Coturnix japonica: one gene and its partner. The protein of the gene in region 1 interacts with the protein of each later gene in a pairwise test. Links are inferred from orthologs where the notes say so. Each region holds a gene or a part of one and is shown in the gene's direction. Other genes may lie near its edges.

Region 1 (4,300 bases):
AACTTGGGGAAGGAAGAGTAAATGAAACGGTGTTTTAAGCACATTCCTGTAGATGGGTGAGGCAAAGCATCTTCAAAAGATGGCTGCAAGCAGCCCTTTTCTAGTGATGCTTTTTCCTGCTCTCTGAAGCACAGTTTTGTTAGACCAAATCCAGAGCTGGGGGAAAGCCTCTTTTGTTTTGAAGGGGGGTACTTTCATTGTGGGCATCAGGACCTGGGATGGATGCTGGGGTCATGATTCACAGAACCACAGAATGGATAAGGTTGGAAGGGATCTCTCATCAGGCTGAGTTTAGATGAACCTTTGAGCAACTCAGTGTAGCTTTGCTAATTGCTCTAAGTGAGATTAATTAGGTGTGGGATGTTTCTGAGTATTGGCTTTTTAACTGTGCATTAGCTCTGTACTTTTCTAGCCCTTCGAGTGGCCTGCAGTAATCACAGGTTTGGGTTACATACAGGCGCTGCCTTCAGTGATGGCTGGGGAAAGTGTCAAAGCCTCCAGACAGCGTTAAAGAGACCAAGCTCCTGTCACCATGGCATTAAAGAGACCAATCTCAGCCCCCTCTGTCCCTGCTGGGGACTTTGAACCAAGGTGACAGAGCAGAGTGCCTACCTCCATCCAGCACCTTGGGAAGCGCTGCTGGAGTGTTTCCATCCAGCACCTTGGGAAGCGCTGCTGGAGTGTTATCTGCACTTATGGCTCTTACAGAGCTTCACCTGAAGGGTTTTTGTTCACTTTTTGTTAGCCTCAGGCTGCAGACTCAAAGCAGCACACGTGTTGTGTTCCATTTATTTCTCTTTTGACCAGTTTTACAGCAGAAGGGGTCATAGAGGAGCAGTGGTTGAGCACTCAGGGCTTGTCTTCTCAAGGCTCAGAGAAGCAGACAGAGCAGCAGCAGGCAGAGGAGGGAGCAGAGCTCATCTCATTGGTGCTGTGAGCAGAACAAGGAGGGGATTGGGGGTGAGTTGAAGCAATAGGAGCCCAACCAAGCATCACCCTGAGCCTGGATTAGCAGCATCCTCATGTTAACACCCCAACCAACCTGTCACCTCCCATCTACTGCTGTGAGCGGGCTCTAATGGCACCTGTACCCCGAGGACTTATTTTATATTGACCTGCCGCGTGTTTTCTATTTGTATCCTTACTGTATTTCCATTAACCTTGTGTTATTCCTTACGGGAGGCGGGCGGTGCTGCTTTGTCCTCCTGGTCTCCTGTGCTTCGTGACGCTCTGGCCTTAAATCCACAAGCGGGTCAGAGCCGATGTGTGACAGCAGCACCATGTGGGTTAGCAGCGCCGTTTGCGGGCTGTCCGGGCCTCTTGTAGCCGCTCATAGTTAAACCGATCCCACCAGCTCCGCCTGCGCTCAGTCCTTTCCAACCGGGGAGGGTCGGCCGCTCCGCCTCACGTGTTACCCATTGCTCTATAGCGGAAGCGGAAGTGTGAGGAGGGAGGTTCCGCTTCCGGCTCGGCTTAACCCGGCCCGGTCGGCCCCGGTTCGGTTGGGTTCGGTAGAGCGCAGCGTTATAACGGGATGGTAACAGTGTAATAGCGAGACCCAGCGGCGGAACATGAGGCCGGAGCGAGGCCCTGGGACCCGCAGAGCGCAGCCCTGATCCGACCCGGGAGAACGGACCGAACCGAACCGATAACATGGCAGCAGAGTCCGTAAGTACCGGCAGCACCCAGCCCCCGTTATCCACACGCTGCCCCTTCGTTCAATTCATAACCCCCATAGTGAGTTGATAATGCAGTGATGTAAGTGCTATTTTAAGGTTAGAGTGTGGGGTTTGTGTGCGTAGTGATAAATTCTTAATGGACTCGATGGTGAGGACACGGGGAAATGGTTTTAAGTTAAAAGAGGGAAGATTTAGGTTGGATGTTAGGGGGAAGTTCTTTCACAGGAGAGTGGGTGAAGGCCTGGAACAGGTCTGCACAGGGAGGTTGTGGATGCCCCGTCCTGGAGTGGTCAAGGCCAGGTGACGGGCATAGGGTCAAACCATCTATCGGGTGTTCTATGGGGTCTATGGGTCTCTATGGGGTCTCTATGGGGTCTATGGGGTCTGTGGGGTTCTATGGGGTCTGTGGGGTCTATGGGGTCTCTATTGGGATCTATGGAGTCTGTGGGTCTCTATGGGGATCTGTGGGTCCTATGGGGTCTATGGGGATCTATGGAGTCTGTGGGGTCTCTATGGGGATCTGTGGGGTCTATGGGGTCTCTATTGGGATCTATGGAGTCTGTGGGGTCTCTATGGGTCTCTATGGGGTCTGTGGGGTCTCTATGGGGATCTATGGGGTCTCCTGGGCAACCTGATGTAGTAAATGTGTATGTTTGGTGGCCCTGCTAGGCAGGGGGGTTGGAACTACATGATCCTTGAGGTCCCTTCCAACCCGGGTCATTCTGTGTGTGTCTGTGAGATAAGCAAAATAAGCTGTTTGGATTCCTGGCTTTTGTGGTGTTTGCTGCCTGGTTCTGTGCAGTGTCCTCTCCAAAAGCCAATGGTGGAGCTGTGAAACTGGGGGAGGGAGAACAACCAGAGACAGAACTTCTTAGGATCCAGTTTAATTAGTAACCAGAGGTCACAAAAACACTCTGTTTCTGTAAACGCCCCCTTTGATGGTTCTGGTGGGCCCTCAGTTTGGATAAGCTTTGAATAGACTTTGCTGTTGTTCTGTCAGCCCCGCTTTTAAGGATCATACAATTAAAGGTGCCTCCTCTAAGTGTGACTTCTGGCTTCGTTTCTCTTCTGGGCTGCTCACACAACAATGGTTTCCTCCTTTTTATTTGTAGTCTCTGTTCCTGAGCACTTATAGATTTCAGTCCTGAAATAGTGCAGTCATGCTTAAAAGGCCCCTTAGTAACTGACTCACTGTTGGTTATGTTCAACTAAAGCACAGTTTGGTGGAATCGGAGCCTTATTTATCAGTAGGTTCCCGTATTCCTAATTAAAAGTATCTCTAAGCAAGTCAGAGATCAGACTATATGTGACAGTTCCCAGTGTGATAGGTCATAAGAAGGGCAGCTGACTTTGAATATTAACTGTGCAATGTGGCTTCTTTTAGACGATCCCCATTTGGCAGAACAAGCCCCATGGCTCGGCGCGCAGCGTGGTCAGGAGGATTGGATCCAACCTCCCTTTAAAGCCCTGTCCCAGAGCGACCTTTGAGGTAAGCTTGCTCATAAGGAGTTTGGTGATTGTGGGTAGGAAGCAAAGCAAGGCCCACTCATGAACTGCTGCACCATAAACCAAATGTAGGTAGACCAGCACTTGCAAAACTTTTATATAGCTGTGTGTTGTGACCTCATGCAGCTGCTGAACCTATTTCCTAAGCAGTAAGGAAGGTTAATGGAAACACTTGTGTAACTGTTCAAGCTCAAGGACTTGTAATGGCAAAGTGTTGCACGTGGCCTGGGCGGTGTGTTGAGCAGTATCAAATATCCCTTGGTTGCTTTGCTATTTAGGCACCGTAACACTGAGGCACCCAAGAACACACATTGAAACCAACGCAGTGGAGCACTATGTTTCTGTACAGTAAACAGTGTTGCTGTCATGCATTCTGCAGTTGTGTTTGCTGGCTTATTGTAGAGTAGAAAGGCTCTGACAAACAGGAAAGCAAATCCAGAGTGGCTTCAGGAAACAGAACCACCATTTCCTTCATGTTACTTTCTTCTTTGTAGGTTCTACCCAATGTTTCAGAGCTCTATTTAAACGATGCCCCTCCTGTCCCCACCCTGGCAGACATTGGGTGGATAGCAGCAGATGATGAAGAAACATATGCCCGAGTCAGGTTGGTTTCATCTTTGTGTCTGTTGATCCTTGTTTTTATTAAGTGATTTAGTTTGTGTAGCACAGGTCAGAAATTGATCCAGCGCTCACGACCTCTGGTCTCCAACACTGAAGTGATGCCTGTCCAAAGGTGTTTTTCCCAAGGACTTCTGTGTCATTTCACCATGTCTTGTGCTGTTTGATTGTGATTTCTTTGACTTTCTGTTCTTTGCAACGCAGAGAGACAGCACATGTGATGGTACAGCGCATCCAAACAAGGTGTAGAGCGTTGTAGTATAAGAGAAACCACAATTTATTGTGTTGAACTGTTTTGCTACCCCAAGGGAGGGGCAGAGAGATGCTGGTGTGGAGGGCCTTGGGTTCATCAATGACCACCAGGTCTTTGTCTTGTAGAAGTGACACTCGCCCACTGAAACACAAATGGAAACCGAGTCCCTTCACGGTCATACAGCGAAATGCCTCCGTCCCCAACCTGAGGAAGCAGGAGGAGAAGCTGCTGGCCTTGAAGAAGC
Region 2 (4,213 bases), on another chromosome or scaffold:
GTTATACAATAGTGTATGTAGTGGCCCTGCCAGGCAGGGAGGTTGGAACTACACGATCCTTGAGGTCCCTTCCAACCCGGCTCATTCTGTGATTCTGTGATAAATAAGTACATTTATTTCAAAGAAGCACCAAGCACATAAAAAAAGGAGTTCAAGGCCAGGCTGGACGGGGCTCTGTGCAGCCTGTTCTAGTATTAAATGGGGAGGTTGGTGGCCCTGTCTGTGATGGGGGGGTTGGGGATTCATGATCCTTGAGGTCCCATCTGTGAAGTGCTCCCCGATTTCTAAGCCAGGCAGTGAGGCGTTATAAAGACAGAACCGTACAGCCACACTCTGCTGCCAGACTTACACAGCTCCCCAGCTGCTGTTGTCAGCGTCATCCCTGCTCCCCCTTTGAGAAAGGTTCTATTCACAGAAGGGTGTCCATGGCTGGAAAAGCATTCCGAACGTTCTATGCTTTTTTCTGCCATAATGCCTCTTAGTAACAACTTCAGGCTCCCACACAATGTAAATGGCGACCGGGCTGGTTCTGATCCGGCGGCAGCTAACTGCAGCTTTAAAACTCCATGTTTTGCTTCCCATAACTGACACTACAACATCAGCGGGTTTCGCTTTCGGACACTGGAACAGGCTGCCCAGGGAGGTTGTGGATGCCCCGTCCTTGGAGGTGTTCAAGGCCAGGTTGGACGGGGCCCTGGGCAACCTGATCTAGTAAATGTGTATGTTTGGTGGCCCTGCCAGGCAGGGGGGTTGGAACTACATGATCCTTGAGGTCCCTTCCAACCCGGGTCATTCTGTGACACGTTCAATCCGCAAACAGCCGCGTCACACCCGCCACCTCCTCTCGGTGCCCCCACGCACCCCCACCTCCCTCACCCCCCTCCCCCCCATGTCCCCCCGTTGTTTCTCACCGCGCTGCAGTGTCACCCCGCGCTGCGGCTCCCGCTGCCGCCGTCCCCTCACACTCCGCTCCCGCCCGGTGGGGCCGTGTGCAGCCCGGCCGGCTCCGAACCACCCCCAGCACCGTGCTCTCTCACCCGCTTCTCTCACTGAGCTGGCGACCCCACCAGCAGCCAATCAGCGGCCGCGCCGGCACCTCCCCGACCAATAGGCGGCCGGCTTGAGGGGAGGCGGGACCTCAACCGCCCTTCGGCTGGGTGTCCAGCGACCTTACCCGGCAGCCACCGCGTCTGATTGCGTCCATCGGACACGTGACCGGGCTCCGCCAATAAGAGGCGGCGCTGCAGAAGGCGCCGTTGGCTGCGTCGTTGTGCTGCTGCCGTGCGGCGGACTACAGTTCCCAGCGCACCTTGCGGCGCAGCCGTTGTCCAATCCCGCCTCGCCGACAACAAGACGAGCTATGATTGGCGGAGAGGCGAGGGCGGCGCCGCACCAATCGCGTTGCGGCGTGGAGGGATGTGTGGGGTCCGAGCGGGCCCGGTGGCGGAGCGGGAGAGGTGTGAGCTCCGTGTGTGTCCCGGTGTGTGACCCCTGATGGCGATGGGGGCCTGAGGCTGAGCTGTGGCGGTTTGAGGACGGCTCGTTCAGCGGTACGAGGCCGGGAGCAGTGCAGGCCGCTACGGGGGGCAGGGGTGGGAGCGGGAGGAGCTGGGCTGGCCGGGAGGGAGGTGCGGCGAGGGGACCCGGCCTTTGGTCAGCGGCCACGGGGCTCCCGGCTGTAATAACGGTGTTGTGGGGGGTGGAGGAGATGGGAACTTCGGTTTTAGCTTTGGTTGTGACTGAGAAGACAGAAGGGGGTGGAAGGAAAAGAGTGGGACATGGTGAGGAGGGGTAGAACTTTGTATCACAGAATCAGAATGACCCGGGTTGGAAGGGACCTCAAGGATCATGTAGTTCCAACCCCCCTGCCTGGCAGGGCCACCAAACATACACATGTACTAGATCAGGTTGCCCAGGGCCCCGTCCAACCTGGTCTTGAACACCTCCAAGGACGGGGCATCCACAACCTCCCTGGGCAGCCTGTTCCAGGGCCTAACCACTCTCCTAGTGAACAACTTCCCCCCGACATCCAACCTAAAAATTCCCTCTTTTAACTTAAAACCATTTCCCCGTGTCCTGCTATTGTCAGCCCTTTCAAAGAGTTTACTCCCCTCCTGGGTGTAAGTTCCCTTCAGGTATTGAAAGGCTGCAGTGAGGGCACCCCGGTTTCGTGTGTGTGCAGGAGATCAGAAGAATAACGATAAAGTGGATAAGGATGAATAGAGCTGGAGGAGGGATCTGGTGCTCAGGATATGACTGGAAAGTCAGAGGCTTTTGTTCGCATTAACTTCAACTCATTTCATTTGTAGGCTTTGAGTAAGTTTTGTTGATCAGCTAAAGAATGTACCGAATAACACTGAACTTCATAGAGACTTTTTAGCAATTTAGAGCCATCTATTTTGAGAATATAAAGTATTCATTATGGTCTGAAGTTCCCAGTCAATCTTGCTAGGACATAGTACAGTCAAAGGGAAGAACATGGAGGGGAATGATTGACTTCTCACATTTCCTTTACCAAAGGAAGAACCAGTGACGGAGAAATTAGCAGGTTTTTATTTAATGTGAAAATGTGAGAAACTATTGGACACTTCTACACGTGCATCTACCAGCAGCAAGAGAACAATATAATATATGAATGGTATTATTTGTTTGGGAAATAATGGTAAAAGATTGTTACCAGTTACAAATTCAGTTTTATTTCTATACAGGGGGAAAAAGAATGCAACTTAATATGTCATTATTCATGCTTTTGTGCCTTAAAATAAAGCTACTTACATGAGTTTCTAGTGGCAGCACCAAGGACCACATTCCATAGTTTTGGAAGCACACAGTCTGTCTTTTGAAGTAATCATACAATGGTTTGAGTTGGAAGAGTTCTTATAAATTACCCATACCATTATGATATATAAATACCCGTATAAATTTCAACCTCTGTGCTGTGGGCAGGGCTGCCACCCACCAGCTCAGGCTGCCCAGGGCCCCATCCAACGTGGCCTTGAACACCTACAGGGATGGGGCATCCACAATTACTCTGGGTAGCTGTGCCGGTGTCTCACCACCCTCTGAAGTAACAATTTCTTTCTGAAATCTAACCTGAATCTCCGTTCCTTTAGTTTGAATCCATTCCCCATCGTTCTGTCACTATCAAGATGCAGACCTTCTCTTTTATCTAAGCTTATGCTTCTGTGGCCTGTTAAGTAGTTACCCCTCATTAAAACAACTGTGGAATCAGACACTGACACGTCTCATTTGAAATTAATATTGGCTTGCACTTTGGCTGAAGCAAGGTGTGACCTGCTTTTTTTTTCTTTATTGAATGCAAACTAGTCAGAAGTTTCAAAAAAAAATCACAACACCTCTAAGTATTTTGTAGCTTTAAATGGATATGGTGTTACACAAGCTGTGTGGGGCAGGTCTCTTCTCACTAGTGACAAATGACAGGACAAGGGGAAATGGCCTCAAGTTGCGCCAGGGCAAGTTTAGTTTGGATATTAGGAAGAGCTTCTTTACACAAAGGGTAGTTAGGTACTGGAATAGACTCCCCAGGGAGGTGGTTGAATCGCCATCCCTGGTTGTGTTTAAGAGCCGTTTGGATGTGGTGCTCAGGGATATGATTTAGTGTAGGGTTGTTAGAGCTAGGGTACTGGTTAGGCTGCGGTTGGACTTGATGATCTTCAAGGTCTTTTCCAACCTGGGTAATTCTATGATTCTATGATTATGCTTGATGCTGGGTTAATCTTTTGCTGCTTATTTGGTTCACTTTTATGTGAAATTTGATTACTGCTAAAGGCACTGAAAATTCAGGTTTTATTTTGCATGTTTATACAGAAGGATGTTTGTAGACTTGTAGTCTGCATATTGGGTGTGAGACAACTATGGAGTTTCTGATCATCTTTATCAGTGCTATAAACTATGTACTGTTATACATATCGGTGCATGTATTTGAAGGAAACAAGAGAAAATGTGATTAACCAAACCCTATCTGCTTTCCACAGGGGAAATTTAAGTTTCCAGCTGAAAAGTTCTATGATCATTATCCTTAGAAATTTTGTTCCTTGAGGCTTCTTTTTTTTGTACTCTTATGCCTGTAACAAATCAATGCATTTATGTTCTTACCTTATCTCTGCTCTAATTGATAGCGAACATTAATACCATATACATTTTTTTGACAGGTATTTTGTACGTGTGGTGTAGGAAAAAATGAATTCCACTA

The links. The genes of interacting proteins can lie anywhere in the genome.
Region 2: the proteins of MTFR1L (region 1) and ARMC1 interact in binary tests that used the Homo sapiens proteins (3 or more experiments, as listed by UniProt). The two-hybrid records come from large-scale screens. The link is inferred for Coturnix japonica from reciprocal best matches to the Homo sapiens genes MTFR1L and ARMC1.

What each region holds. Positions count from the first base shown.
Region 1 is NC_029538.1:2,042,532-2,046,831, reverse strand, and holds the start of MTFR1L (mitochondrial fission regulator 1-like), read left to right. Parts: upstream 1-1,457; 5' UTR 1,458-1,653; coding exon 1,654-1,668; intron 1,669-3,063; coding exon 3,064-3,168; intron 3,169-3,679; coding exon 3,680-3,789; intron 3,790-4,181; coding exon 4,182-4,300. UniProt on the Homo sapiens protein: Mitochondrial protein required for adaptation of miochondrial dynamics to metabolic changes. Regulates mitochondrial morphology at steady state and mediates AMPK-dependent stress-induced mitochondrial fragmentation via the control of OPA1 levels.
Region 2 is NC_029517.1:103,982,474-103,986,686, reverse strand, and holds the start of ARMC1 (armadillo repeat-containing protein 1), read left to right. Parts: upstream 1-1,387; 5' UTR 1,388-1,550; intron 1,551-4,172; 5' UTR 4,173-4,200; coding exon 4,201-4,213.